4 linked regions of the Oreochromis niloticus genome follow. The protein of the gene in region 2 purifies or fractionates together with the protein of the main gene of each other region. This does not show direct contact. Links are inferred from orthologs where the notes say so. Each region holds a gene or a part of one and is shown on either strand. Other genes may lie near its edges. The genes, in order: prmt1, hnrnpub, rfc4 and ilf2.

Evidence for each region.
Region 1: the proteins of hnrnpub (region 2) and prmt1 purify together in Homo sapiens (affinity purification with mass spectrometry; 4 studies listed by BioGRID and IntAct, with this or other methods). This does not show direct contact. The link is inferred for Oreochromis niloticus from reciprocal best matches to the Homo sapiens genes HNRNPU and PRMT1.
Region 3: the proteins of hnrnpub (region 2) and rfc4 fractionate together in Homo sapiens (co-fractionation; 3 studies listed by BioGRID and IntAct, with this or other methods). This does not show direct contact. The link is inferred for Oreochromis niloticus from reciprocal best matches to the Homo sapiens genes HNRNPU and RFC4.
Region 4: the proteins of hnrnpub (region 2) and ilf2 fractionate together in Homo sapiens (co-fractionation; 3 studies listed by BioGRID and IntAct, with this or other methods). This does not show direct contact. The link is inferred for Oreochromis niloticus from reciprocal best matches to the Homo sapiens genes HNRNPU and ILF2.

The regions. Positions count from the first base shown.
Region 1 is NC_031969.2:2,252,478-2,259,991, forward strand, and holds the start of prmt1 (protein arginine N-methyltransferase 1), read right to left. Parts: upstream 3,007-7,514; 5' UTR 2,893-3,006; coding exon 2,857-2,892; intron 1,387-2,856; coding exon 1,291-1,386; intron 1,202-1,290; coding exon 1,046-1,201; intron 943-1,045; coding exon 879-942; intron 799-878; coding exon 656-798; intron 1-655. UniProt on the Homo sapiens protein: Arginine methyltransferase that methylates (mono and asymmetric dimethylation) the guanidino nitrogens of arginyl residues present in proteins such as ESR1, histone H2, H3 and H4, FMR1, ILF3, HNRNPA1, HNRNPD, NFATC2IP, SUPT5H, TAF15, EWS, HABP4, SERBP1, RBM15, FOXO1, CHTOP, MAP3K5/ASK1, MICU1 and NPRL2.
Region 2 is NC_031980.2:811,769-819,113, forward strand, and holds the start of hnrnpub (heterogeneous nuclear ribonucleoprotein Ub), read left to right. Parts: upstream 1-4,337; 5' UTR 4,338-4,517; coding exon 4,518-4,971; intron 4,972-6,206; coding exon 6,207-6,321; intron 6,322-7,345. Other genes in the region: kif26bb (kinesin-like protein KIF26B), read right to left, coding at 849-1,205, 1,396-1,458. UniProt on the Homo sapiens protein: DNA- and RNA-binding protein involved in several cellular processes such as nuclear chromatin organization, telomere-length regulation, transcription, mRNA alternative splicing and stability, Xist-mediated transcriptional silencing and mitotic cell progression.
Region 3 is NC_031986.2:29,303,789-29,311,347, reverse strand, and holds the start of rfc4 (replication factor C subunit 4), read left to right. Parts: upstream 1-4,540; 5' UTR 4,541-4,701; intron 4,702-5,998; 5' UTR 5,999-6,003; coding exon 6,004-6,119; intron 6,120-7,143; coding exon 7,144-7,222; intron 7,223-7,559. Other genes in the region: mcf2l2 (guanine nucleotide exchange factor DBS), read right to left, coding at 2,720-2,798. UniProt on the Homo sapiens protein: Subunit of the replication factor C (RFC) complex which acts during elongation of primed DNA templates by DNA polymerases delta and epsilon, and is necessary for ATP-dependent loading of proliferating cell nuclear antigen (PCNA) onto primed DNA.
Region 4 is NC_031985.2:35,583,800-35,590,790, reverse strand, and holds the start of ilf2 (interleukin enhancer-binding factor 2 homolog), read left to right. Parts: upstream 1-3,971; 5' UTR 3,972-4,123; coding exon 4,124-4,128; intron 4,129-4,591; coding exon 4,592-4,651; intron 4,652-5,720; coding exon 5,721-5,763; intron 5,764-5,910; coding exon 5,911-6,015; intron 6,016-6,105; coding exon 6,106-6,183; intron 6,184-6,463; coding exon 6,464-6,566; intron 6,567-6,991. Other genes in the region: uncharacterized protein si:dkey-81h8.1, read left to right, coding at 1-49. UniProt on the Homo sapiens protein: Chromatin-interacting protein that forms a stable heterodimer with interleukin enhancer-binding factor 3/ILF3 and plays a role in several biological processes including transcription, innate immunity or cell growth.

The sequences.
Region 1 (7,514 bases), on a different chromosome or scaffold from region 2:
TTATTCACCTCCGTAGAGCACTTTGCTCTCAGACTGCTGGAATATTAGTGGTTCCTAGGGGGCTTCCCATGATGCATTTCTTCACTCCTTTTCATTTGCCATGTGTTCTTTGCATTTATAAAGTTACTACTGAGCTCTCTTGTCCCGTTTCCACGCCAATATTGCACCATTTCATAATGTTAACATACACTGGGCCATGAAAGGCTGTGGGAACGGTTTACGTCTCTCATTTAAAAAGTTTACAAAGTTAAAGTGATCGTCACGCTCCCTCACACATCTCCAACAAAACTAAGGCTGACACATCCCCACAGCTTAGCCTGGCCCAACTCAAATCCATGTATCTACAGATTTAAGGAGCATCCCAGCGGTGCGATAGGAACAAAGGTTTGAGTGCACACATACATGTAATGCAAAGCAGCGAGACATTACCACAGCCAACACTGTGACTGCACGGTTTACACAAACAGGGACATGCTGTCGCAGCCATCATAGAAAAACCCAACTCACAAGCACACTCACCCTCATATAAGGTGGTACATTAGAACGTATCAAATTTACGTTTTATAGTACAAACGCCCACAGGACTGAAACAGGATTCACGTGTTTGACAGGAGCTCTACTGCTCAAATAAACAGAAGAGCATATGCATACTCACCAGCCATTTGTCCCTGGCATAAATAACTGTATTAAGCATGGACTCATAGAAGAGACAGTAGCCCATCCACTCTGATATGATGATGTCTACTCCATCCACAGGCAGCTCCACCTCTTCCACCTTTCCTTTAATGATGGTCACAACTGGAGACACAAGTAGAGCTCAGTATGCATTTTTAAATATGATCACATGACTGAAATCATGTTGGCTTCTATTTACTCACCATCATCAAGGTTGTTGGCCTTGACAATTTTCACAGCATAGTCAGAGATGCTGCTGCACTCAATCTATGGAGATCAAATACAACAAACAGACACATCAACTATATCAAGGGACCATCGCTAGCTGTGAGTGATGTCATTACCATTGATTGGTGAATAAAACACCTACCCCTATAACCTTCTTGGCTCCAGCTTTGGCGGCAAACATGCAAAGGATACCTGTCCCACTGCCCACATCAAGCACCACCTTGTCCTTAAAAAGGTGCTTGTTGTGGAACATGGAATTGCGGTACGTGAGAGTGCGAACTTCATCCTTCAGCATCTCCTACAGCACAAAAGCAGGATTCATGAATACACACACAAGTTTCCTTGAGTTACTGCTCTAAACACACAGATTACAAACCAGAAAAATACCTCATGAATTCCAAAGTGGGCGTATGAGTCAAAGTAGTAGTCCTTAGATGTCATGTCCTCAGCTGCAGGCTTGGCTGAGCTCTCCCCCTGGGAAACCTCACAGAAGACCAAGATCGTCTCAATTAAACATCATCTTTGCTAAACTCAGACAACCAGCAGCTTTGCTGGCTTCAAACAATTAAATGTATTAATATAGCAACTCTGTTCCAGCCTTACAGGCCTCACCGTCTTTCCACACACACCTGTATCATGTGTTTAACCTCTTTGAATTTTCCAGGGAAACTGCTGAGTTCACTGAACAGCTGATAAGCAGCCAGTGTAAGAGTTTCTTGTTTGTTTCCCATCTTTTAACTGTAAGTAAATGAGGACTGCAGAGGAGGAGGAGGGTCTCCCACCAGGCCGAAGTCCAGGCTGTGTCCCTCTGTTTTCCCTCCCTAGTTCCCACAACAGTATTTTAGGGCACATTAAGATGTGATGTAACCCACAGTTATACTGGGGCCGACCACTTCTTTTCCCCAAACACACCCTACCAGTTAGAACAGGTATAGGCATCATACCACAACCATAAGCATCAATCATCTCTTGCAGGGGGGAAACCCATAACAGGGCTGAAGGCGGCAACAGCCGAATCAGTGATGTCCTATTGTGTACTCCGACAAGATGGCGCTCCACGTGCTTTAGACACGGGAACTGAAAAGACTTTGGTTCCCAGTCCGGCTTCACGGACAGAGTTAAACGGGTTAGAGTTTTTAAAACAGGCTCCACGCTGGGCCAATACACGTGGCCCACTTTAACGTGAACTCCGGCCGCACAAAAGATGGTGGCACATGGCTGAGAAGTCGCGCGCTCTTGGCCTTCCTCGATAACACTGGGTTTCCACGTGCACACCAACTACCTCATCTGTAGTTATCGGCTCGGGCTCAGTACAGCTAGCACGTTTGTTCACCTCTATGAGAGGCAGAACACCTAAAGCTGCCTACAACGTAGTTCTTTATCACCCTGAGGATGCGCTACTAACGCGGCTAGTTCAGCGCTGCTGCTGTCGCCTGTAAACTACATTAAAGGGAAAAGATTATCGCAGAAATCACGTGACATCTGTTAAAGAACAAGTTTATGAATAAACTGTAAGAAAATACCAAGAAAGAGTTCAACTCTGTAGCACAATTAGCTAACGAGTTCAGAAGCTAACACGGTAGCACCCATGCGGTCCACGACAGGTTCGCTCCATCGCCAGCAGCCGGCTGACGCATTAGCTAAAAGGACGACTCTGTTCTTTAACCTTCCAGCGTCAAACAGCCGTGGGGATCAGCCGCAGTACGTGCTTGGTGAAGTGTCGGAGTGGCCTTTCTCGGTCACATATATGTTAGATGAATGAGCGCCAACGGTGCTAAGGCTCTATTAGCCTTAGCCAAGTTAAAATGGATGCATCACTAGCTGGTAGGCATGTGCTAAGTAAAGCTAAAAACATAACCGTGTACGCAATGTCGCACGACTTCATAAAATGACCGCGTGTCGTTACCAAAGATAAATATAAGTGAGGCTTATTTTCACACTATAAGACCTTACCTCCATCCCTTCTGCTGGCGCCGCCATTTCGATCATCTACCCAGAGTAGCTGCGTGGGTCTGTAAGCGTCTCCCTTTGTCCCGCCCACGACGGCCAACGTTTATCTCTGATTGGTGCAGACGACAGGCCCTGCCTCCAAATTAATCCGGTTGTTAAGTGATGACGTAAAACCCTGCTTCCGGGTCCACACTGAACCGCCGTCCATTAAGACTGTTGTGTTTTTAACGTGTTTGAATACTTCCGATCTTTTTAAGTCCCTAAAAATAGGCCGTGATCACTTGGTAACCTTCACTGAATAAATGTGAACTGATGCCAGTGAATGAATGGAAACAATCCTGTATGTGTGGCATCCTTGTTGGAGGATTTCACCCATCATGGTAAAGCACCGCGGTCAAGCCAGCCGCTTCTTATCCGCCGCATAAATTTTCTTGCGCTTCTACACCAGCCTTTACGGCAGCGCCTTTTCTCGTTATTTCCCGATCAAAAGCATAGGCCCACGCACACGTGCGCACGCGCGCACACAAATTGCAATGGGACAGCCCAATACAGCCATCGGGACAGTCTGGTTGTATATTCAAAAATTCATTAAAAATCATTCTTGACAGTTGATGTCCAACTTTCAACACAGTCCTCCTCTGGGACACCTACTGCCCCTCTGGGCTAGGTTTCATCCAGATTTACTGTAATATTCCTCAGAAATTAAATGACATTTATGTTCAATACAATACACTCAATACACTACAATTATGTAATGTTTAAAAAATTAATTACAAATCATCCTTAATAGTTGATGTCCAATTTTCAACACAATCCTCCTCTAGGCCACCTACTGTACCTCTGGGCCACGTTACATCTCAATCCGCTGTAATATTTATCAAAAATTGAAAGAACAATTATATGTCAAGGCTTTCTGTGTGCCTTTCAAAGTGACACTAAATAACAGAACTCAGGCACATCAGGGAATAATCCAAAAGATGGTTTTATTAAACTAAAACAACATACAAAATATCCCTAACCCATACTACATAACCTAAAAAGAAACATAGTGGAAACAAAGGGACACTTAGAAGCACAAGAAAACAATATTATACTGAAAGGGCAAGAGACACAGCCCAGACATAATCCACAACTAAAACTCCAAAAGAACAAGTCATCCCACATAGCAGACAGGTCAAGCCCTGTTTATGTGATGGCATGCCACATCTGGCCCGATTGTGGTTTGGTTGATGTGGCCCTGGCTCATAGAAAACAGGTCTGGCCCAGATCTGGCATCAAGCTGGCACTTCTGACTGACTGGTGTCATGGCAGGGTGTATGTCAACCAGATGTGGGCCAGGTCTGGCAATGATGGCACTATTTATGTTCCTATTTTCCTGTTTTAGTTAGAAGACCCAAATGCCATGTTGCAATACTATACTGCTATGGTAGCCAACGTTTCAAATGCAGGTTTGACAGGTTTGTGAGTGTACACTTTATCCAAAACCTAGTGAGGGTTTACTCATCTTTGCCAGTGGCTGGCTGTAGCTCAGGAGGTAGAGCAGGTTGCCTATTGGTCGGAAGGTTCGATCCCTGGCTCCTCCAGTCTGCATGTCAAGTGTATGAATGTAGTTAGGAAGCACTCAGTTTATACAAAGTGTATGATTGGGTGAATGTGGCATGTTGTATAGAGCACTTTGAGTAATCTGGGAGAGTAGAAAAGCGCTGTGTAAGAATCAGTCCGTTCACTGTCTGAACAGAGTTTCTTCATGTTACTTTTGCACTGTTTTGCATGTTCTGGCACATGTTGTTATTACATGGCTTGATTAAGGTACACATTAGGCTGACATCTGGGGCCAGAGCTGAAACTGTTCTGGGCCAGCACAGGGCCAGCAGTGTGTCTGCAACTGGCCTTGTGCTGGCCCATGTGTGGGCCACATCTGGTAAACCAGATCTGGGCCACCAAAAGGCCGTCATTCTTTGCAGTATGTGGGCCATGTGTAAGCACATTGTGTGGGACAGATCCAGGCCATACCAATTTTGCTATGTGGGATGAATTATGTAAAAATGGAAACATCATAAAACTGAAAATGAACATTAAGTAAAATGTACTGAAATGAACATCAGTATGGCCATCATTATTTAATTGGAAAGTCTAAAGTTCTATGGCTTTGAACAGCCAGAGAACACAATGCCCAGCTTAGTGCGACTAAAGGTAACTTCTTTTAACATTCTGTCATTCTGCTTCTATATCAAAAATCCACTAAAACTAGTGTAAGAGTAGTCATTTGAAAAAAAATGACTAGTTTTAGGGGGCTCTATCCGCCTTAGTGCAGCTGCCGTACCATACTGTGATGCAGTAGGTTAGCAGCCTCTCAATGGACGAGCAGTAGAAGGTCAGCAGCAGGTTGGAGTTCAGCTTGTACTTCCTGAGGACTCTCAGGAAGTGCAGTCGCTGTTGGGCCTTCTTGACATCTGCTGAGATGTTGTCTGTCCAGGAGATGTCAGCAGAGATGAGGATGAGATCTTACAGTCTGGGGCCGGTTTGTGAGAAAGTCCTTTATCCAGGCACATGTGAGAGGAGGGAGGCCAAGAGTGACCAGCTTGGTGATGAGGATGTCCGGGATGATTGAAGGCTGAGCTGTAGTCCACGAAGAGCATTCGGACGTAGCTCTGCCGCTGCTCTAGGTGACTCAGCACAGCGTGGAGGGCTGTGGCGAGGGCGTCTTCTGTGGATCTGTTTGGACGGTATGCAAACTGGTGGGGGTCAAATTCTGGGGGGAGGTAATCCTTGATGTGCTGAAGGACTAGTCTCTCAAAGCATTTCATGATTACCGGTGTGAGGGCCACAGGGCGGTAATCACTCAGGCTGGAGATGGGAGACTTCTTCGGCACTGGGATGATTGTGGCTGATTTTAGACAGGATGGGATGGCTGCCTGATCCAGTGAGAGGTTGAAGATGAGGGTGAAGATGAGGGTGAGCTGGGGGGCACACGCTCTTAGCACCTTGCCAGGTACTCCGTCTGGACCGGCCGCCTTCCTGGGGTTCACTGCTAGGAGCACACGTCTGACATCGTGCTCCGTTATAGTGAGTGGAGCAGTGCAGGAACCAGGTGAGGATGAGGATGGGAGCAGGGCTGAGGCAGATGAATGCTGCTGTTGTGGTGTTTCAAAGCGGGCGAAGAAGCTGTTTATTTCCTCTGCCAGCTGCACACTCAGGTTTTCTGTTTTCGCAGTGCTGCCTCTGTGGTTTATGATGTCTTGTATTCCCTGCCACACCTCCCGTGTGTTGTTGCTGGACAGGTGGGACTCGATGCTTCCTTTATGGTCTGTGTTGGCTTTTTTAATTCCCCTTTTCAGGTCAGCTTGAGCAGCCCTGTACAGAGCTCTGTCACCTGACCTGAAGGCGGCATCACGGGCTTTGAGGAGTGAGCGGACCTCGCTGGTCATCCAGGGTTTTTGGTTTGGGAAAACCCGAATGCTTTTGTCCACAGTCACATTTGCAGTACAGAACTTGATGTAGTCCAGAACTGATCCTGTGAAAGTTTCTAATGCAATATATTATACTTTACCAATGTAACACTGCATGCCAAATCAATTTTGAAAATATCTGTGAATTCTGTATTGAAAAATGCGGGTTTCTTTCAGAATTTATTTTTATGTTATCAAAAATGTATTAAAAGTACAAGCATGAAAAAGTACAAGAATGGAATAAAAAATATAACCAAACAAGCTTAATTTACAGTTTGAAATACAGAACATAATGAAAAGATAGAATTAACTACCTATTAATCCCCATATCCAAGTATCAAAACGAGTAAAAACAAATTACATTCTTTTCTCAGTTTCTATTAATAAGACTTAAATTTACATGAAATTATTGAACATTATATACATTATTCATAAGGAGACAAAGAATTCAGAAACAAGTGAGAGAGTGCAGTGAGTCATGTTTATTCCTGTTCAATATGTGTCTGACACAAGTGGATGAGTTAAAAAGTCTGACAGCAGCAGGAAGGAAAAACCTAGTGTGTCATTCCCTCAGAGAGCAGGGTTGAAGGAATTTGTTGCTGAAAATGCTCTTCGCTTTGTCTAGTGTGTTATGGAGGGGATGAGAGTTGTTGTCCTTGATTGCTAACAGTCTGTCACTGACTACCTCCTCCAGGCTGACAAGCATAACATAAACAACAGACTATACATTCCTGATGACCTTCAGTCTGTTTACATCTTTTTCTATTATGCCTGTATCCCAGCTTGAAGAGTCCTGGACCCTTTTTCTAGTCAGTGGGTGTGTGGGCAGACAACTCTGGCTTGTCATCCAGTTGGATTTCCTGGTATTTGTAAGATGGCACTATCTACAAATCAGGAAACATCAACTATGATATTAAAAAATGACATGATGACATAGTCCTTGGTCAGTTTACCGAGCATTTCTCAGTTTTGTTCTTTATAGTTCTGTTCATCATATCATTGTTTGTGAGTCCTGGATTATTTGATGATATGTTTACATTATGTATTCTTTTGTTTTCAGTTCCATATTACTTTTTAGTGTAGTTCTTCTTCAGTTTCCACAAGTGGATGGAACACTTGTGAAAATACTCTAGTGTTAAAGTCAGTCTTGTCTTCATGTCTGTTTATGGTTTTGTCTGTGTCAAGCTCGTGTGTCTTAATCTGGGTTTTATT
Region 2 (7,345 bases):
CTCCCTGTGGTCTCTAAAAACATGACACGCCCCATCCCACTTAAGAGGACAAAAATAAATAGCCTTCCCTCAATGGAGAGGACTGTGGAGATGACACAGGGATGTCGCCATGAAATATTCATGGACATTTAAAACCACTGGCGCAGGAATGTCACTGGTTTACTTTGGCGTTCGGAGTCCAAATGATGGATTTTGGCGGTGATGAATGTGCAGACGTGCACGCTTCTAAAAGGCTGCACTGAAGGTCCCACATGAGCCTTAGAACACTTGTTAAGCATCACCACTATATGCCTCAAAAGGAACTTCCAGTTATGCTTCTGTGTGACATAAGTGTCATAAAATGCTTTCAGAGCATGTGTATTGGAGTTTATCGGTCCACGCTGTCCCAATCTTACAGACTCTCACTAAAATATCATAAAAGACAATAAAATCCAGTAAATATTTGGTAGCAAGAGCCTTTATTTATTCCGTCATTTAGTATATTGTGATTCACAAAGTCTGCTTTTAACATTTTTCATGCATATTTATTCTTATTTATTCTTTCAATTCACAATATTCATGCCCAAAGGGGTTATTTGAGGGGGAAAAGCAAGTTTGTGAATACTTTTGTCATTGAATTGCATCAAAAAACAAAAAATATGAATGTGCATTTTTTTAATTACTGTAACAAATATACACCAGTAGCACCTGCTGAGAAGCATCCATATGCATTCAGCTTCATATTTCATTTCAGTTACGTGTTGTCTGTTGAGTCCAAACACGATATTATTACTGTAATTATATAGACTGCTTCGAAAGCATGCATGCCACATGAACCCCCTTTCCATCACAGCATCATTGTCACTGACCTTGTAGGAGAAGTGATGGTGAACAGCCAGGCTAAGGGCTTGTTTCTTCAGAGCAACAAGGGTCGCTGAGCACTTCTCGCAACGCACAACTTTCCGATCGGACCTCCCAAAGCCGGGATTCGCCGACATGGAGCCTCCTCTACATATAGTCCTGAAGGACATGGTAGTCCGAATGCGGTCTCCTACAGATCCAGGGAGGGACTTGTAAGACGGGACATCGTCTGCTCTCTGGCACATATTCCCATATGGGTCGCCCCTGGACCCTCCGGCACCCACAGGAGAGGGGCGCTCCTTGGACTGGCGGTCCTTCCCTGCGGAAAAGCCGGCGGGCTCAAAGTGATGCTGCACTTCTGTGCTCTGAGAAATAAATCATGATAAATAAGGATGTATGTGGGCTTTGGCAGGGGGAAATTAAATATCAATCGACTTGGGCTACTGTAACCACACCCTAATGTTTTGTTTTTTCTAGTGCAACAGTACTCTCAAGAAACTCTAAACCCCCACAAATGCTAACAAATTTTGCCCAAAACGAACAAATCTGACTTACCCAGAGTCCTCCTCTGATCGAGGCTGGAAACCCCTCTCCTCCTCTTCCAGTCAGAGATGACATGACAACTTGTAAATATTTAAAAAGATATCCGAACAAAGGCGGGGGGCATTTTCTGTTTATTGTTGCCAATCCTCGGGGACGTGGTGCAAAAATATCCACTCACGTGAGCGCCTAAAAGAACAAACTATACAACAAGCTGAAATGCTGGGCACAGTCTCTAAGAGGTGGAGTGATGGCAGTGGCACAGTGGAGAAGGAGTGAGAGCGCACGGGAGAACACTTCATGAAGTCACTTAGCTATTTATTATAAGCTCCTCAGGGAGGCAGCACGGAGCAACTGCTCGGAGAAACCTTAGAAAAAGGAGCAGGCGGCTGAGTGTTTGTATTTCTTGATGTGATTCATGTCCTACATACTGTCGCTGTCCCGCAAATGTCACTGCACCTTCTTACAACGGAACAGTCTGACAACATGCCTGAACAGACGTGTGCGCATGCGGAAATATCTATCCACATTATTCTTACAGTGGTTGTTTTCACCTTAGCAGCAATGGTGTCAAAGAGAAACTGCAAATATATCAAAAATATTTCCAAATGACTGAAATCCATGTCTCGGAAATGTATTTATTAATTCATTAATACATGATAAGTTAGTGTTTAATTAATACTTATTTTACTCTAAGTGCTTTAAGGAGCAAAGAAAAGTCATGTGTGTATCTGAGGGGTAACAAGTCCAGCAACAGAAGCGTGCTTGCTGTAGGGGTCACCATAGCAGATCATCTGCCTAAGCTGAGTTGTTACAGGTTAATCCTGTAACTCCAAATGTATCATGTTTTTAAATAAACTGAACAATATATTATTAAGCAGTAAATTGGAAAAAAAAAAAAAAAAAACCCAAAAAAACACATGCATTGAAATAATTAGTACCCCATCAACCCAAGAACAGTTTCAATTCAAACAGATTCAATAAACATTTTCCAAACAATTTTCCAGCAATTATTTCACAGTTGACATAGTTTACTTATGATTTACAGGATTAAGTAGTGGTATTAATAATGAGCGTGTCTCAATCTGTTAACACAAACTACCTTTTTAAATGTAACCAATCGGGATAGAAACCCAAGGACTTGAAAAGCTAGTTCCCTCCGAAGATATAGAAGGACAATTGTTCTGAAGTATTATGAACTTTAATTTCAGTGATCACCAGGATCTAAAAAGCTGTATGTACAGTACCAGTCAGATCTGACAAAAAGGTGTACTGATTTTACCCTGAAACAGGGTTTATGACCTCATGACCTGTTGTTCATGGGTAATTCTGCAGCTATTTTCAGAAAATATGATGGCAGATGTGATGAAATGATTTAAATAATGTATAATTTTTGTCATTTTATGCAAATGCCCAAAGGAAATCCTCATTTCCAGGTAGTATTTTAATAAAATTATTCACATACCTTGTGTTTCTAAAACACTGAATAAAATTCCAAATACAGATGTGCATAAATGTTTAAATATATTTCAACATTTAAAAAAACAACTGTCTCACTGAAGTTTTTTCAGTCGTACAGTCGCGACTTTTCCAGGTGAACTATTTCCACATGTGCACCATTCTGAAAACTACAAAATACAGTTACAGTAATTTTGTTATTTTTCATTAATTTTACATATAGATGTGTGGATTGATATACATATTGTGTGGGACGCATCGTAAGCATCCCGCATTTGGGTATTTGGAGCTCTTGGTTCTGGTATTGAAGGCGTGTTTAGTCTTGGTGGTGTTCAGTAGTGTTTAGATTCAAATCGCTAAGTGAATCGAGCCTTCCCTGTATCCTGCTGTGTATTGTTCGGTCTTCTTATCTGTTTGTGATTCCTTGCTTAGTTGTTTCCTGTTTTATTTTGACAGCGGTTATTCTCCGTGTCTTATGTGAAGGTTAACTTCCCCCTCTGACTCATTAGCTTAATTTAGATACAATCTTCTAAACTAATTATTACATGATTCGTAGGCACGATTTAGTTTTCTTTCATTTTGAAAAATATCAGTTTACCATTTATTAATGATACTAACTGTAATGCCCTTAACAGTTTGACAATGCCAGGTATCAAAACAAAGAGGTACTTCATCTTACGTCTTTAGACTGAAAACAAAGAGTTTTTAAAAAGACTGTAACAAACTTTAGACGATAATCCGTCCAGAAATGCGAGATCCTGCATTTCTCAAAATGTAAAAGAAGTTTGGATGTGACTTTCTATTGCAAAAACATAAATCTCAAGCCTAAGGTAACTCCGATGATGTAACCAAGGCTGAGCTTTGGCCACTGAAGCTCTTTATATAAAAATCGGTGTGCGCTGCTTTAAATGAGTATAACAAAGAGTTGGCAAATCACCAAAGCGCTTTCCAGAAGAGTCCACGGAGTTATGTGTTGTTTAGAAGTGCATGAACATTTTCAACATCAACTCTGAAAAATCTACAGTTGACAGAAATAACAAAAAATAAATTTTAAACAGTAATCAGCTGCTTTCGTTACACGGGAGAGCGATAACGTGTATTCAGAAAGATATGTGTCGGCGTAGTTAAATATCACATTTGTGCCTCTTCTTGGATTTTATAAAATTGAAAAAGGGGCGAGAAGAGAGAGATCTTTGTACTGCATTGTTTCTAGCTTACCGATACTGATTATTCGTGTTGCACATTACGCAACTATTCGTGCTTTTACTCTACTGTCCTGGCCTGTCTTAAACTCACTGCCTGGTTAAACAGCCCTCTGTAAAATCTTTTTCGTTAAATAATGATATAAACTAGTTAATACCGTTCGCGCTCTTTATTGGAACCATCTTTTCGCGTACTATCTGCCCCGCTTTTCCACAACAATGGTTTCTGAAAGGGACGTTTAGCTGCAGTGACAGATGGCCACAGGCTACATAACCAAGCTGCGCCTCTCTCTGGGCAGTTACGGTAGGAGACGACTCCTCCCCCACACCGCAGGCTCAGCACAGCTCTGTGCCGGCAAAGGATTGGTTGTACAGCGGGTGCCGTTTGGCGCAGTTTTGAGCTACATCCGTTAACAAAGGGCGTCCATTTATTTATTTCCCGTGTTATTTTAGCGCGTTCGCCGTCAAACATTCACCATGAGCACAATTAACGTGAAAAAGCTTAAAGTTAACGAGCTCAAAGACGAGCTGAAAAAGCGTAATCTTTCGGACAAGGGGCTGAAGGCCGAGCTGATGGACCGCCTGCAGGCCGCGCTGGACGAGGAGGCCCTCGCTTCTCCACAGGAGCAGGCAGCTGAGGCGGATGACGGTTTCGAGCAGGCCGCCGACCAAGAGGGTATGGCAGAGGAGGAAGAAGGAGAAGGAGAGGGGGAGGGAGAAGGCCCCGTAGAAGAAAGCATGGAGGCCAACGAGGAGGAAGAGCCGGAGAGTGGAGGCGACGGCAATGGCGTTGCCGTGGACGAAGAAATGGGCGAGGGAGAAGAGGAAGGAGACGAGGACGATGAGATGGACCCCATGCTCAAGGGGGACGTGGACGACATGGAAAAAATAGATACGGAAGACGGTGAGCCGGGAGAGCAGGCTGCCGAGGGTGAGTCGACAGAATCGCTTATGTAAATGCGGCTGGTTGGATGTGTCGTTTTTTTGAGAAAGCGCTAGCGGTGAGGAAATTATAAAATTTGAATGCGCTACCGCACAGCAGAGCGTCCATGTTGAGAGAGAGAGAGAGAGAGAGCGTGACCTCACTACTAAGCTAGCCAGCGTTAGCACCGGTCTGCAGCTTGGTTAGCAGTCGTGTCGTAACCTTAAGTAGCCACAGTCCAGTCTACTAAAGAGACCTTTAGCGTCATGTTGAGAGCAGTCGACTAAAATTACTAAAGCGACTCTATTAAGAAATTTGCTACCGAATTTAGCTTAGTCTGGCTTTAAGTTTCGGTTTGGTTAGCGTGTTAGCTTGCCAGCTAGCGTCAGTTTCTTTGTGTCTGTTGTGCAGTGCCAACTAGCTGTTCAACCGGTTAGCTAATTCAGAGGTTCCCGGTGTTCCAGCTGGGGGCGTTGGAGAACATTTGCTTTCACATCCCATTTTAGAATGGATTGACGTGAAAACAAAATGTTAGAAATGGCCACTGCAGTGGGCTTCTTGCCACCCTTTCCGCCTTAATTGTACCGACATCGTGTCTTGGGGTCGTGGGTGTTTGCCTTTAAAGGTTGCCGGGAACATCTGAATTAGCTAATCCCAAGATGTGCTGAGAAAAGGAAGGGCGCCGCACTGCTCGTATAGGTAGGACGTGGGTAGGTTTTTTCCCCCGTGGTTTTTATAGATAGTGTTGGATGGTCATAGAAATTATTAATCTAGGCAAAATCAGTGCAGTGTCGCGGGGAGGGGGGTGTAAATCAAGGTCTAAGTAGGCTTCCCCGTTTCCCTGCATGATGCATTTGTCCCTGGCAGCAGTAGATTTGCCCTCCTTTTAATGAAATAGATTTGTATCAAAAGCAGTATCTTTTAAACCCTTTACTGCAGATTAGTAACACTTTACTTATTAGAGACTTGTTTACCCAGCCCCATTCACAATGTTCATACGGGCCAGCTTATATTGTAATTACTACCTGGTCTTTTAAAGCTGTTACAGTTTCCACAGTATGATTGTCTTGTTTTAAGTGTAACTATGAGGTGTTGCCTCCAAGTAACCTTAATACAAATGATAATGGTCGACAGACAATGTAACTAATGAACGGGCTTTGTGGGCCAGAACCCCACTGCCAGTCCGACCTCTCTCTCCCAGAAAAAGGAGCACCTCATTCTATATCTTTGTTCTATTTTCAAAGGGGATGCGGACAAAGACACGAATGCTGATCAGAAGAATAAGAAGGGTGTTAAGAGACGCCGGGAGGAACATGGAAGGGGCTACTTTGAATTTATTGAAGAGAACAAATACAGCTGGTAAGGATGGGACAGAGCGAAAATGGCCTTCAGCATCCCTGAAGCGCCATCTATAGCTTTGTTGAATTGTATTGGCTTTAAGTGCCAATGCACATAACTAGCAAGAGGAAAACCCTCATTTTTTTCAAGTATTATACTACTTGTAACATTATTTTCACACACATGCTTTGAGGGTCATCCCTGACTACTTAAAGAACCTTACCATTTACCTTTTTACAGTGCCCACTCACACTGTTTCTTTACTGGACTGCATTCTGTAGCAGAAGTGCATCTATCAAGTCTCTATGAATCCTCACACCTGTTCCTTATGCCACGTACTGTTTTGGAAAGCCTGTTGTGTCCCCAAGGTGAAACAAGGCTGCTCAAAGGGGAACCCAGAGGAACGTAGCAGATGTGCAATTTTCAGTGGGTGGGTGGGGAGAAACTAGCTCGGATTTGTGAAGAAGGGGTCCACTGCCGCAGGGTAGCAAAAAAACCCAAAACTCCAACGTCTGTTTGGAACGTCCACGGAGAAGCTCGCTATTGACCGTCCATCGTTACGCCTCGCAGTGGTCTATTCTTTTTCTTTTTTCGTTTTGTTTTTTATTTCACTGGTTGTATGATGTCGAAATGCTATTTCTGTCTCATGTATCATGTCCTGTGTGTGTGTCTGTGTTTTCATGGTGTGGGTGTGTGTGTGTGTGCGCGCGCATTTGCAAGGTTCTCTTTCTACCTCTGCTAGGTGACATCATGCATGGTGTGTGTGTGTGTGTGTGTGTGTGTCTACCTCTTGGTCAGTGTTTTGTTTTCATTGCGATGTCGATGCACTAAGGGTCAACAGGCAGATAATGGAATAACTTTGTGAAAGTTTTTTATTTCTTTAAAATTATTATTTTGGGAGAACCTTCGTCATGAATGTTTAGGCCAGGGCGGCAGAACTATTAGAACACCGAAGTATTGCTGCTCCATCACTTTTCCCTGAACAGCCAACTACTTTTGTGCAAGGATCCATTTTTCCCCAGATGTCCAGTATTTGCATTTTCAC
Region 3 (7,559 bases), on a different chromosome or scaffold from region 2:
GTGTTTAACTAATTAAGAGAGAATGCTTGAAGTACTGCAACAACATTAATGTGTAGGTTCCTATAAAGTGGGCTTCTCTTTAAATGCTGTTCCTATAAAACTACTCGTTAGCACATTGTGTTTAATAGACTGTGAAATGAAGTACAATTATAGATTAAGTTGTCATCCATTCAGTTTCTGATTCTCTGCATTAGTATGCTTTTGGTTGTGGTTGAATAGTGGAAAAAAAATGACCACCAACATTTTTTGGTAATCACTTTCACTTGACCCTGATGAGAAATATTATAAAGTCATAGAAATGATGGCGATTTCATAGTAACTTTGAAATCCAGTGCTCAGGAAATTCAACTGCACTTATGCTTAAAAAGTGCATTCTGTTAACATGGGTCTGCTGTGGTGAAAGTACAAAGTCCTGTAGATGAATTCCAAATAGGTGCATCTTAGATAACATGCTTTTTATGCAACACTGGAATATAGCAGCCTACCAGTCGTAACAGTGAAAAGCTGTACTAGGAAAAATTGCCTCACCTAGCCATCGACTCATACTTTACCTTCCCGCTGAAGAGGTGATTCACTTTAAGTCTTGCCTTTATTAAAGCTTCAGCATCTCCCAAGTAATTTTGTTAAGTAGCACAATGCTCATTTAGCTGTCAGTTAAACAAATTATTGAAAGAAGTATAAATGCATATTAGGCCGTTGCAGTATGGAAAAGAAAAACCTGCAGTAATTTACATGATAATCTGTGTCGCTTGAGTGTAATGTTAAAAGTTTGTTTTCATGAGCTCTTAATGCATATTTGAACTGTGGGAGAGCAATATTTTCTCACCTTTCATAAAGGATGGTTCAATGTATCCAGTGCTAAAGGGGACCATACATGAAGCAATGCAGCACGTTTACTTAATTAGAGAATTCATCCAGCTCTTATTATTGTTCCCACACAGTTGCTTCCAGCTTCATGTCACTCACTTAGGAACCTTCTCAAGTAAACTGACTGTTAAACTGCAGCCTTTGAGCCCATCCGAGCTGTCACTGGACACACACTGATACTGGTCATCCATCGCAAAGCTAACATTGATAGACAGGCAATTATTCACACATTCACACTTTTGTCAGTTTAGGATCACTGATTAACCGACACGCATAGGAGGAAACTGGAGTACTTGGAGAGAATCCATGCAGTTTTTGTTCTTTTTTAAAATATATATTCCTTTTATTTGCCTCTAAAAAGTGGGGTTAGGGTTACTTGTAATCATCAATCACAGAGAGAAAAGCCCTTTAACTGGACATCCAATATTTGTTATGAAAATTCTGTATTGTATAACTTTAAGACTGAACTGAAAGGACTGAAGTATTAGAAAGAAATATAATAATGCACAAATTTTATTCATAACAAATTGACCTGCGGGATTTTAATTTTTTAAGTAGCTGCATAGACATACATAGATCATTGATGGTTGGGTCTGTGTATTCATGATGTGCAGACATAAATCAGTTCACAGAGTCATATTGTAGTTTCATGTCATTCTTTTTTGGACTGAAACAAGTCACACTACTGTAAATCAAGTAACTTCAGAGTGCAGACTTAAAATGAAGTTACAATCAAGTTAGCATGAGACCAATATCAATAGTTTCTTAATTATATAATGTGTATAACAGGTTCTTTTAAAAACAGGTGAAGAATATAACAATATCCAGTTAAATTAACACCTTTACAGAATCATCTGTGCTGCAAACACTGGTGGCAGCATACTGAGCGAGCATGATTTCCAGTAAATTAATTCAGAGCCAGTTTCCATAGTAACACTCTTCACAGGCTGCCCTCCGCCCCCCTACCCATCATTCTCTTAGCTACTGTGCAGTGCAGGCAGTGCAGCAATGGAGAATACTGTGCAATGCAACCATCTCCAGCGTGGCACATTAACCTACTTCCACACCAGAAACAACCCGGATGCGGAATTAGAGAGCAGGAGGTTGAAAAATGATTGATGAATGAGGAGAGGAAAGCAAAGAGAAAAGACGTCTGGAAAAAAGGGCTTGAGAGGACCGAACAGCATGGAAAGCAGAATGAAGGACACACAGAGGAGAGAGAAAGGACGAACTCGGGATGGAAAAGCAGTGATTACTATGAGAGAAGGGCAAAGAGGAAAGATGGAAATAAAAGGCACAAAGAAAAAGCAGATAGAGTAAAGGTAACAAGACAGAAACTTAAATGGACAATATCAATGGAAGACTGAATATGTATCATCATTATTCATATTAAAACAAGAAAATAAGATCCTGGTCTCAGTAATATTTACTCACATCAAAGGAAACAGTTAATGTATGCCAGTGAAATTGAGAATGAATTGAAAGATCAATTTAAAAAATGTTGATTGCTGCTGAAAATCACAACTGAACCCAATGACTTCTCTGCTACACTCTTTGGCCCATGTTCCTTCTTGCTCATCGCATCCCTCTTCACTCAGTGGTCCTGATGAGAGGATGGAAATTCCCTGCCTCCATTTCATTTGCCCTGCTTCCTAATCACAAGTCAAAGATTTATAGATAAAGATCTTTCAGCACAATGAGGGTATATTCCAAGAGGCGGGCTCTCCTCAGAATTTCCCGTGAGAGGATACCGTTTAAAACATCTGCTCCTCTTATTCTAATTAATCCACCTGAGAGTGAAACATGAACAGACAGACAAGGGGGGAAACTGAGAAGATATACGATGACTTACCGACATGAGTGATGACACACTCGACCCTCTGTAGCAGCTCCTGAACCGACATCTCGTCCTCTCTCAGCCAGCACAGCATCTCAGGGTGTGGGTTGCATCCACTCTTCCCTTGATCTCTCTTCGTCTCACTCTCTCTCTCTGCTGCCACGCCTCCTCTTGTCACCCTTCCACCCCAGACAGTCTCCCCTGCTTTTGCTCCCTAATCCAATTTTCTCCCCTGAGATTTGTGTCTCCCTTTTTTCCCTCGTATATGTTGATTCTTATTTATATTCCAAGTCCTTCCTCACATTTATCACCATCACAGACAGCCACAAAGCCTGGGGATAATGATAATGTTGATGCCACTCCCAGCCACTTAGCTAAATAGTAAGTCTACATATAAAATAACCACGCTGCTAGTAAGGCACATATAAAATAACAAAAAAAAAAAAATACCCAGTTAGGGTTGATAAAATAGAAAATACAATAGCTTAGTCAACTGAACAATGAGCAAGATAATCTGTCAGTCAGTGTTCAGTGAAAAACAATGGCAAGGTAACTCTTAAGCAATTAAACAATAAAAGCCAGAGCAAGTCAAGCAGAAAGACAACAAAATAGACAATTTGTTTGTCACCCTATCAGTCAGAAAACTGTGCCAATAGTAAAAAATAAAACTGCATTTTCAGAAAATTTGCAAGTAAAAACATCCAATTATTAATCAGCCATCCAGACAGTGATAGAGCCAACCGTTCCTTGTCATGATGCTCCAAGCCCCAACTGAAAACCAGAAAAATCCTCATAGAACAAAGTAAATATTTACAGCGCACCTAAACTAGGAAAAGACAGAATGCTCCTCAGCCAGGGGAGATAGTTGAGTCCACTCCATTGATAGGGAAACTCCTCAAGCTTGATGGGCAGGAAATCAGTGGTGCTGCTGCTTTGATGATGCTCTATTTGCTCTCATAAAGAAGCTGAGTCACACAGAGGGAAAACGAATCAGAAGGCTGCTTCACCTGCCTGCAGGGCGGAGGGAGAGAGACAGAGCTGGCTGAGGGTGGGGTGGGGGTTAATAGGTCCAAGAGAGAAATCCTGGTGCCTGGAGCTGGACTGTAGGAGTGGAGCCTCAGGAACACACAATGATTATCAAATTAAACATAAAAAAAAAAAAATTATATATATTCTTTTTTTGTTGAATATGTGGGAAAATAACATAAAATAACATAAAACATTTTTAAAACCCTACATATTTAGCCATCTGATTTAATCATCATCACGCAAGAGCACAAACAAAACAAATCATTCATGCTTTCACTTCATTTGGTGCTACTAAAGCCACTCTGCTAATCCAGCTCCACATTTTGCCTGAACCAAACAATGTAAGGGGCTCTAGCATCTCTCCATGGCCCTGTATGCTCCTGGGACTGTCTATTAGCCGGAGACATCTGTGCTCTTGCTACTCATTCATCTTCTCTCTGCAGGCAATCACAGGCCGTACAACAGAAACAGCCAAGATCAATGGCCCATCAACTGGCAGACAAAACAAAGCACATAATCCTGTATTTCTTAGGAACATGACTACACAGTGTTTGTTTTTGTCAGATGAAATCATTAAATATAAACTATCGGATTATTTATTTGTTTATTTGTCTAAAATTTAACAGTTTAGAATATAAGCGGAAATATTGCGTATGAACAAACCAAACGAAAATAACAGGAAATTATGAAGGCTACAGAATGAAGAGGAGACAAAAAAGCCCCTCTCCCCCAAAAGGAGAAAGGGCTGGGAGGAGACGTGACTAAGGAAACAAGCGGCGTCCGCACCATATGATTGGAAATTACACAATGACGTCGACGGAAGTGTCTTCGGCTGCTAGCGCGGGAATACTCACTGACGCTGTTGAAGACACGGAGTTAAGCAGACAGGGGTCGAGTCAGCTGCCAGAATTATTATTACTAGAACTGCAGTTTTAGATATTCATTCACTCCGACCTTGGAATTGTTAGGTAAGACTTCTAAAGCGGTTCATGTTTATGAAAAAAGACACAAGGTGGCCCTTTGGAGTTAACAACGGGGCTAATGTTATTAGCTCATAGTAAGCACAGTGGCTAACTCACCTAGCCTCGTTAGCTGCCATGATAAGTTGTGCTATAATGCTAAAAACAGTGCCAAAGAGGACCGCATGTACCATTAGCATTTAATGTTCAGGGAGACAGTGTGGAAAACTTTCTTTAAGTGTTTACTAACCGCAGCTAACATGGGCTACACACTAGTGATGTCTGGGTCAAGCTATCTCTGCTGTTCAAAGTAAACTCCTACCATTACTTTCTCATTATCGAGCTACATAACGAACACAGTTCTGTCTGTTGTGATGTTAAATTTCTTAAGTGCCGCTCTTGCATCCCAACGTTTCGATGTCAAATTTTAACTTTTACTGTCCAACGAATGAAATAAGGCTGGACGTTAACGTTGAAAATGATCGTTATGTCTTTTTCCTCCAGTCGTTCAACCATTCTTTAAATGATCTATTAACTGATGCTTGTGCATATCAGGTCTAAAATGTATGGAATGTTCAGTACAATAGAGCGATCTTTCTGAGGCGTGCCTCTTCTTCTTTTGGCTGCACTCTTTAGGGGTCGCCACAGTGGATAATGTGCCTCCATCTCGCCCTACTCCTAGCATCCTTCTCTGTCACTTCAACTCTGCATGTCCTCCCACACTACATCAATGAACCTTCTCTATGTTCTTCCTTGTTTCCTCCTTTCTGCCAGCTCCATTTTCAGCATCCTTTGTCCTAGATATCCACTGTCTCTGCACTTGTCCAAACTGTTGTCAGCCTTGGCCCTCTCTCTAACTTTGGCTCCAACACTACTCCGTAATCAGTGGTTAGGAGATGGTGACACTAACAAAAGACAGCAGGCTAAGCTGGAGGTGGAGCTAAAGATGCTTTGATTTTCTTGAAAGTTACCTTAGAAGTTTAAGGTATATGCACCCCTTATTTATAATAAGGGGTGCATATATGATGTAGATCATAATTGGTTTGATAATTTGGATTTCAATTATTCTGGCGTGTTATGGTTTACTTGTTAGGTGACTTATCTTTGAATATTGCAACTTTCATGAGACTAGCTTGATTAAACAAGGCATTAACAGCTACATATGGATATCATGGTACAGGAAGATGGAATTCAGCACAGTACTGGACATTTGTTTGATCTTTGTTTCCAAAATATTGTTACAACCTACCTCTGTATAATTATGATATAATAATTATAGTGTGTGCATTTTGTATGTTCATTTTAGTAGTCATGCAAGCCTTTTTGAAAGGAGCAACAGTTCAGGCAGCCAGGCCTCAGAAAGACAAGGCAGTGGTTGGACCCAGTGCAGAGAAGAAAGCAAAGGCTGTTCCTTGGGTAGAAAAATAGTAAGTATGACCCACAAAGGTGTACTGTACACTACATCTGATTAACTATACAGATTTACAGCAACCTCAAGAATCCTTCGGGACAAAACTTTTAACCGCCTTTTAACCGGGGGGCTGTTCAGTATTGCCATAAAAATACAATATATATGTATATATTTTTTTTAGTCTTGGGGTTGATTTACAGAAATGTTTAATCTGTAAAATGCATAATGAATAATAGCATCATGTGTCTCATTTTTACATTTTGATCATCTTTTGATGTCACAGTGAAATTCAGGATTGTTTCTTGACTCAAGATGATTATTAAATCCCCCAAAAATGGAACACATATTTTGCATGTAAGTGCATTGGAGGGTGACCACAGAGCTACAAATACAACAGTTGGACGTGCCTTTTTTTCCTTCCCTATTTTTACATGAATTTCTGGTCCTCATATATAATTTTGTGAAAATTTCTGTAGCAGCTTTTAACTGACTGCCATTACATCACAAATTTATTATTTATATATTTATTTAATGTTCTGATGCAGTGCACTATCATCCTAATATATTTTATTCTATCAGTTATTGTGTAATAGATAGTTACACTACAGTATTTTAACCTGGTTCTGTCTTTGTGATCTTTTTTTATTTGTGTTCTTCTCTCCTTGTAATTTCGTTCAGCAATGCTTCTGTGATATGTTGACTAAGGACAATAAAAGAATCTAAAGTCATATTTTTGTAAAACTTTTGTAAAACACACAATTATCACCTAATAGATTTTCAAATTATGATATAAGGTCATATTTTTTATTTTAGAGGAAAGACGATGTGAAATGTAATGGATTGTGAGTCATGTTATTGACTTTCAGATTTTTTTTTAATTTAACAAATATTTCACGGTGATGCGGTTAAAAGTGCTTCTGTTTTGTTGTTGCACAGTTCTCTGGAGTCTATATATAATCTGTATCCTGTGCTGATATTGAAGCTTGCAAGGTACTCAAACCAGATTTTTTTTTTTTTTCTCTTTCTTCAATGAACTCCAGCAGGCCAAAGTGTGTTGATGAGGTGGCCTTTCAGGAGGAGGTTGTAGCGGTGTTGAAGAAGTCTCTGGAAGGAGCAGATGTAAGTAACATTTGGTTGTTCTTTTTTTATAGCCTCGGCTGCATTACTGCATTTGGTTTGATAACAATGAAAATGCCGTACACTCTGGTTTTTGGTCCCTTTAATCTTTTGATTCAGAACACAGCCTTTCAAGATCATAATGTGGAGGGTTGTTTTGGGTGGAAGTGGACAGTAAACATTTCCCTTATCTGACAGAAAACTTTAGTCAGCAGACTTCCGTCACCTGATGGGAGATGAGTGTGTTTTTGTTCTCGTGCATGTACCACGTATACCGTAAGAATGTTTTCAAACTTGTGTCAGATTGCTTTGTCACAATGTAGCAGTGTATTGTCAGATA
Region 4 (6,991 bases), on a different chromosome or scaffold from region 2:
CCCACCCACTGAACCCCAGGTGGAGCCAATAGAAACCACAGAACCCTGAACTCAGCACACAGAGCTCACAGTGGTGTCATGTCAGTCACAAGAGACAGCTTACATCTGAGTGTCAACAGGGAAGCCATATTCCGTATGTTATGCGTTTGGAAAATAAATGTGAATGTTTAACAAGTTTCTGGCATGTTTGATCACAGCATCAGTGTTAGTGCTGCTGTCCCTACAGTATACTATGGTGTAGTTGTGAAATGGAACAGTTTTATTACTAATGTTGACATGGTAGCACTTTATAATAATGTCACACTATTAAGCCTTATTAAGGTATTAACAAGTGAGTAATTCATCATTTACACAGCATTACTGCGCCGTAGTATGCCATTTATACTTCTATCAATATCAAAACGCTACATGACTTAGTAGATTAATAAAGTTGTGAAATATAAAGAACAGAATTGGTCGATATTATAAAAGCAGCGATTTTAGCCCACTGTCAGTAATACTGTGTTCGACTGCCCCAGCACTCTCATCCTGCTTGTAACTCAGGGTTTCTCTCATCAGCTGCTGACGTGTAAGCCTCTTACTTACTTATGCACTGAAATGTTCTCCAATGAGAACTCAAAGAGAGAAATATCTCTAAAAATATAACGGTCATAATGCTGTTCTCATCATTGTTTATTGTTTTTGGCAAATTAGGGACAAAGATGAGGTTTTCATAAAATCCGAGCAGTTGGAACTCAAGTCGTTAAATCCACAGGACACATATGTGTATCTCCACAGTTATTTTAGCAGATCAAACCTATCTGACACTGCTTTCATGTATGGCTTCTTAGTCCTGTTGTCATTCTTTGTTCAAACCACTATAATATAGAATTAATTGTAAATGAATGTATGAAAACTTTAATCTCACTGAAAATAAAATTACTGCTGCACAGATAAATCGCTCTCTAAAGCTTAGCTTGAAATGTTGAATTGTTACTAATGATTTTTTTTTTTAGCACAAATCTGCTGAATCCAAAGCGGGGTTGTTCTGTCGAGTCTACAGATTGTATATTAATGGAATATTAACCACAGCCTTGTCTTTTTTTTCTATATAATTTTTAGATCATTGTGAATCTTCCTTAGCATGCACACATAAGGCCACATTCAATTCTGCTAAATAAAGTCAAGCTTTGTTTTAGCTTTGTGTGATTATGTGTAATTAATTTCATGTTTGTGCAGAGAGCTGAATGTTGCTTATGGTAAAAAAAACAAACAAGCTAGACAGTGAATAAAGTTCAGGTTAGCTAATGTAGTTTATGAGACTAGTGTCCATCATACTTTTGTGATATAATGTAACAATAATATGACCAACATTAAATTTATTGCATTAATATGTGGAATATAATTAAAAATTAGAAAATTAACTAAAAAGTGACATTTAACTCAGCACCTCAGTAAAGATTCAAGGTGCATTCAGTAATAATTTAGCAGTATTACTCAGAATAATCTGTAAACTGGGCCACATTAGTACAGCGTGAGCTTCGTTGTTACTTGATCCACACAAATATGGGAAAAAAAGTTTGCTATACCAAATATTATTTTATCTTCTCCACTACTACCTGCATTCCAAATATTGTACAGGTCTGTGGTTTATGTGCTTAAATAGCCGTGTATTTATGTGAAACCTGTCTGCCAACCCGAAATGATTACAGATCCATCCTGGCCCCCTCACTGACACCTTCCTGTGTTAGGATCCCTGGGTCATCGACCCAGTGGTTTGTGTTTTGGTTCTTTGAGTTTGTTACTTCATTATATTCTAGTTTTGCTTTTTGGGTTTTTGGATTATTCTTAGTTTGGGTTCTCTGGGTGGGTTCTGTTAGAGTTTTAGTGTTCTGGTTTTCTGTCTGTTATTCTGAGTTGCTGTCTCCCCTGTTTGCTGTATCCCCACGTCCAGTCAGTGTCTGTGTCTGCCCTGGTCCCACGTCTTTGTTCCCTTTGTTATAATGCCTGCCTGAGAGTCTGTGTTATGTTTCCTGTTTTACTTTGTAAGTCCATTTCTCATGTTAGTGTATCTGGTTTTGCTCTCCTTGTCTCGTTAGTCCTGATTTGCCCCAGCTGTGTTTCCCTCCTGTTGCCCATTCCCTGATTGCTCCCTCTGTGTACTTAAACCCTGTGTTTCTTTGAGTCAGTGTCGCGTCGTCCCTCATGCTGTGTGTATCTCCCTGTGGCTCCCTGTGTGTGTTTTGTTAGATTCTTTTCAGTTTAGGTTTTGTAGATTTTCTTTGTTCAGCAATAAAGCTGTTTTGAGTTCACCGTTTTGTCTCCGGAGTCTGCACCTTGGGTCCTATTCCTGTCTGCACACAGCCGTAACATGACATCCTGGCTCCGCCTTAGAAAACATTCATGCTTAGAAAACATTAGCATGAATTCTGTCTTACCTTTGCTGTCTTGCTTCCAAAACTTAAATCCAGCGCAATTAAATTGCATTAACTGAATAACTCCATTTCCCACAATGCCTCAGAGCAGGGACATTTCACTTGAGCAGCATCAGTCTTTGCACAGGTAATATCCATTCATGGTTTTTTGGAGTTTATTGTCTACTGCAGCATATTTTCAAAGGGGTGAAATGCTATAAAATACAAAACACATTTAGGCATTTTTCTGTGTTGAGTTACTTTGGCACAAAAGCCTCCACTGTAATATTTGCACCTCTGATGAAGTCTCACAGGTGTAAGCTTTATTTTGATAAGATTACTGCTTACACAGAGTTTGTAATTGAAACTCCATCTCATCTTTTCTTGTAATAACTTTACATATGAAAGTGATATTTGATATGTCACTTTACAAAGCTGCAAGAATGAACAATTTCTGCATACATTACAGAAAGTGAGCCAGACACAAAATATTCATTTGAAAAAAATATAAGTAAGTCGCAACAGAGGTTTTCAAAGGCTAAAAAGAATGAATATTTGAACATCTTCAGTTCCATGACAACTGGACAGCTCACTAAGGAACATTAAATGGTAAATGGACTGGTTATTATTTAGCACTTTCAACTCTGAGCTCTCAAAGTGCTTTTAATTTGCCTCATTCACACCAATTCATACATGTACTTTTTCTATATGTATATGTAAGTTCTGTTTATATAACATTCACACACATTCATACTCCAGTGGATGTGTCAGAGACGAACTTGGGGTCACTATCTTGCCCAAGGATATTTGACATGGATATTTGACACTGGAGTCACAACTGGTTGGAAGATACTAGCTTCAACTGATATACATGGAATGCATTCTCATGGATGTCAGCAATTTGAGGCACACAGCCACAGAGTTAATGATTTCTTCAATGAAAAGCAGTCCCAAGTAATGTGGTTTCTTTGACATGCATTTGAGAGGACTGTCCTTCGAGGAACCAGACTTTCTTGCCTTCCACATACTGTTGGGCTAGGGACCTCATCCAGTCAGTGAACTGGCGGTTTTGTTCTGCTGTGCGCTGGAGGAAAGCATAAGATTCTCCGGCAGTGGTTTAGGTGATGTTGGACTTGTCAGGTCACAAATTTTGAAGCCAACTTGAAAACCTTCTCCAGCCAATGATGTCCAGATCCTGCTTTTTAGATCCCATTATAATCAAAAAGATCCTCTAGAAAAGATTAAAATTCTGGAAACAGTTTATTAAACAGAGTCATATGAACAGCAAAACAGTACATCACATTACACAGAACAGCAAGACAACAGATCACAAAGCAAGCAAAGCAAACCTCAGGCTGTAGAGGCTGTAAGCACAGACAGGAAAAAGCTGGTGGGGGCACATCTGATGCTCCTTTATAAGGAGTCGAAACCTCTCCTAAACACCAATCAGTCCTTTTTGACAGTTTTAGGGCCAAAGTGAGGTCATGAAGTTTAAACTTAATTTGGCAGTTATGCTTGGATTTACATAATATTAGGTCTACATTGTTAGAATCCCAGCCGCAGTGAGATTCTAAAAATGTCCTGTGGAGGGCAGTATTGAGCTTAGTGTGCCGCCCATTGTAACAGAAGAAGTCGACGACTAACAGGCAGCACCGAGAAGCCGGTCCACAGAGGGACGTTCAACAATTCTCTGAGATTTTCCACGTACAATAATCAAAACGTCGTACGCAATGAGGTATCCGAGTGTAGCTCGTTGGGCAATGTGTTTTAAGTCGAGTACTATCAAGTCTTTGAATTCTTACCTCGTACCTGTGCTACAAGCTAGCTCTGAGTGCCTGATAGAGCCAGTTACTGCCTTCGTAATTTAAAGCCAGTGGCGTGTATTGTCTGAAAGCTCGCTGCTTTCCTTTTTTTCCTTCAATGAATCCAAACGTCCGAGCAGCGTGTAGCAGGAGCTTCCTCGGTGTAGGGAAGGCTACAATAGTAGACATATGTTAGCAACCATCCCGTTGGCTAATAGCTACCCTGCTGGAAAGCTAAATGAAACAAATGTGCTTTGGCTCAGTGAAGCAGCGCTGATGTAGTGCATTGGTTTCTCTACATTAAGTCATTACATCACAACATCATTACACGTTGGCTCAGTCGCCAAACGTGGTTTGTGCACGCACTAACGTCAGCTGTGTTGTGTTTGTGTCCAGAGGAGACCGCGGCAGAGGCCGAGGCGGCCGCTTCGGGGCCCGCGGAGGACTGGTCCAGGGGTGAGTTCACCAGCCCAGATGTGTTGGCTGATTTTCAGTAATGTCTTGGTTCGTCGTTCGAGCGCTAAGCCCCATTTACACGTTATGTAGGGAATATTACTCTCTTTGTGGTGCCAGGTGTTTTGTCCATAAAACACAGGTCACCACGACTTCATTCACAAAGTCCAGCTCGCTCCAAGGCCTCATAAATGTTGCTGGCAGTGTGAAGTGACAGTACCCATAAGGCTACACGGGTGTAAGCAAAACTCCGACATCTGTGGATGAAATAAATCATTTTTAGAAATTTCTCAATTTCCAATAAAAATTCACAAGTAATAAAATAACATTTGTTTTGCCGTGAATCAGCTTTTATCATTTAGCCGTGACAGTGCAACGAGGCGCTCTTTAAAGATCTCATGAACATTTGTTTTTATGATGATGTAACGTGTGAGCTATGAAAATCTGACTGCCAGCGTTCTGTCAGCACACTTTCATGTTTTGCTGTTAACCTAACTGCTTTTGTTCCCTACATAACACAATACATTTTTATAGTATAGTACCAGCTTAGAGTGCTGTAGTGCTGTAATGCTGAGGAATCAGAATCAGAATACTTTATTGATCCTTAGGGGAAATTATTATTTAGGGGAAAGAACCTGAACCGTAGACACTTTCAGGGACGACTCATAACCACCATAAAAGTACTGTGTGCGGCATTTATGTGCTTCACTGCAGCTGAACTCGTCTGGGTTCCTGTTTGCGTCTCTGCAGTCCCACATACTGTTGCTCCAACAGCACCAGTCAACACACACACGCTGTACTGTGCTCCTGTCCCTCTGCTTATTCCACTACAGAGAAGCAGACCTCAATGTGTCAGAATGTAAATGCTGAAATCACTATGCTTCATATTTTTGTGTCCTGTTCTCAGACAACAGAACAACTGTGAAATCTTGCCTTCAATGTTGTGCTTTAACACTGCCAACCCCGGTAACTGGAATGAAAACCACTAACACTGCTGTGTAACCACTGAAATACAGACCCTGGAACTGCAATGTTGTTTAACCAAATCTGACAAAACTTTATTTTTGTTTAGGTACCGGCCATTTGTCCCACACATTCCATTCGATTTTTATGTGGTAAGTATGTGTGGTGGTATGAATTAGAAACTTTTCACCAAATTACAAAGCAGCAAGACGTCAGCCAGCAGTCAGTGTATAATGAAAGTGTAGAGTGGTTCTAAAGGAGCAATGCAAGTACTCAAGCAGACTGTTGTTTGTCACAAGTGTGAGATGGCCTTCCCCAGAGTGAAGCCTGCACCTGATGAGACGGCTTTCAGTGAGTGTCTGCTGAAAAGGAACCAGGATCTGAGCCCCACCCCTGCAGAGCAGGTCAGTCCGTGAGCCTGCACTCATTCAGCAGTAATGGAACTGACCTGCTGTTTCATTTCACTTACACAAACCTTGTTCGTTGTCCGTCAGTCTTCCATCCTGTCCCTGGTCACAAAGATCAACAATGTGATCGACAACCTGATTGTTGCACCTGGCAACTTTGAAGTGGTGAGTCGAACATGAGTGAATGAGTCGTAATGGCTTCAGTGAAGTGCACACGCTGCTTGTGTCACTGGTGTGTGTGTCAGCTGTTCTCTCAGAGCTGAACTGAAACTCAAGACTGTTTAGAAACAACACTGAATCACTTGAATACAGTTAGAAGTATCCAGTAACAGTGCTTTGTGGACTATACAGCTTCATTTTCATTGGACAGATTTCATATTTATATTATAAGCTAATTAATAATAATGTCTTTCATGTCAGTAATCTTGTACTTGTCGACTTGTAGCAAATTGAAGAGGTGCGTCAGGTGGGTTCCTACAAGAAGGGCACCATGACGACAGGACATAATGTTGCTGACCTGGTCGTAATCCTCAAGATTCTCCCTACATGTGAGTAATATATGGCACAATTACACTGTCTAAAGAGAAGTTGCTGCTCCAGCACACATCATTTCTAAGCCTAAGAAGCTCGGAAAGAAAAGCATCTGGACTTCTTTAGGTTTCTTGAAGACGTTTCATCTGAGAAGCTTCTTCAGTTCTAAGAGAAATTGGCAGAGAGTCCCAGATTTTCCATGACGCTCCCAAATAAGGTTTCAAATCTGAGACTCTCCACCAATTTTTCTTAGAACTGAAGAAGCTTCAGAACCTAAAGAAGTCCAGACGCTTTTCTTTCCAAGCTCCTTAAACTACGATGACCTGGATGACTGAGAACCTTCACAGACATCATTTCTAAGCCTTTTTGATGCTGTACGTTGTGCTGCTTCTTGTCACTTGGATAATTTGGCAACTTGTTTGCAGTTATTAAAGAATCTATG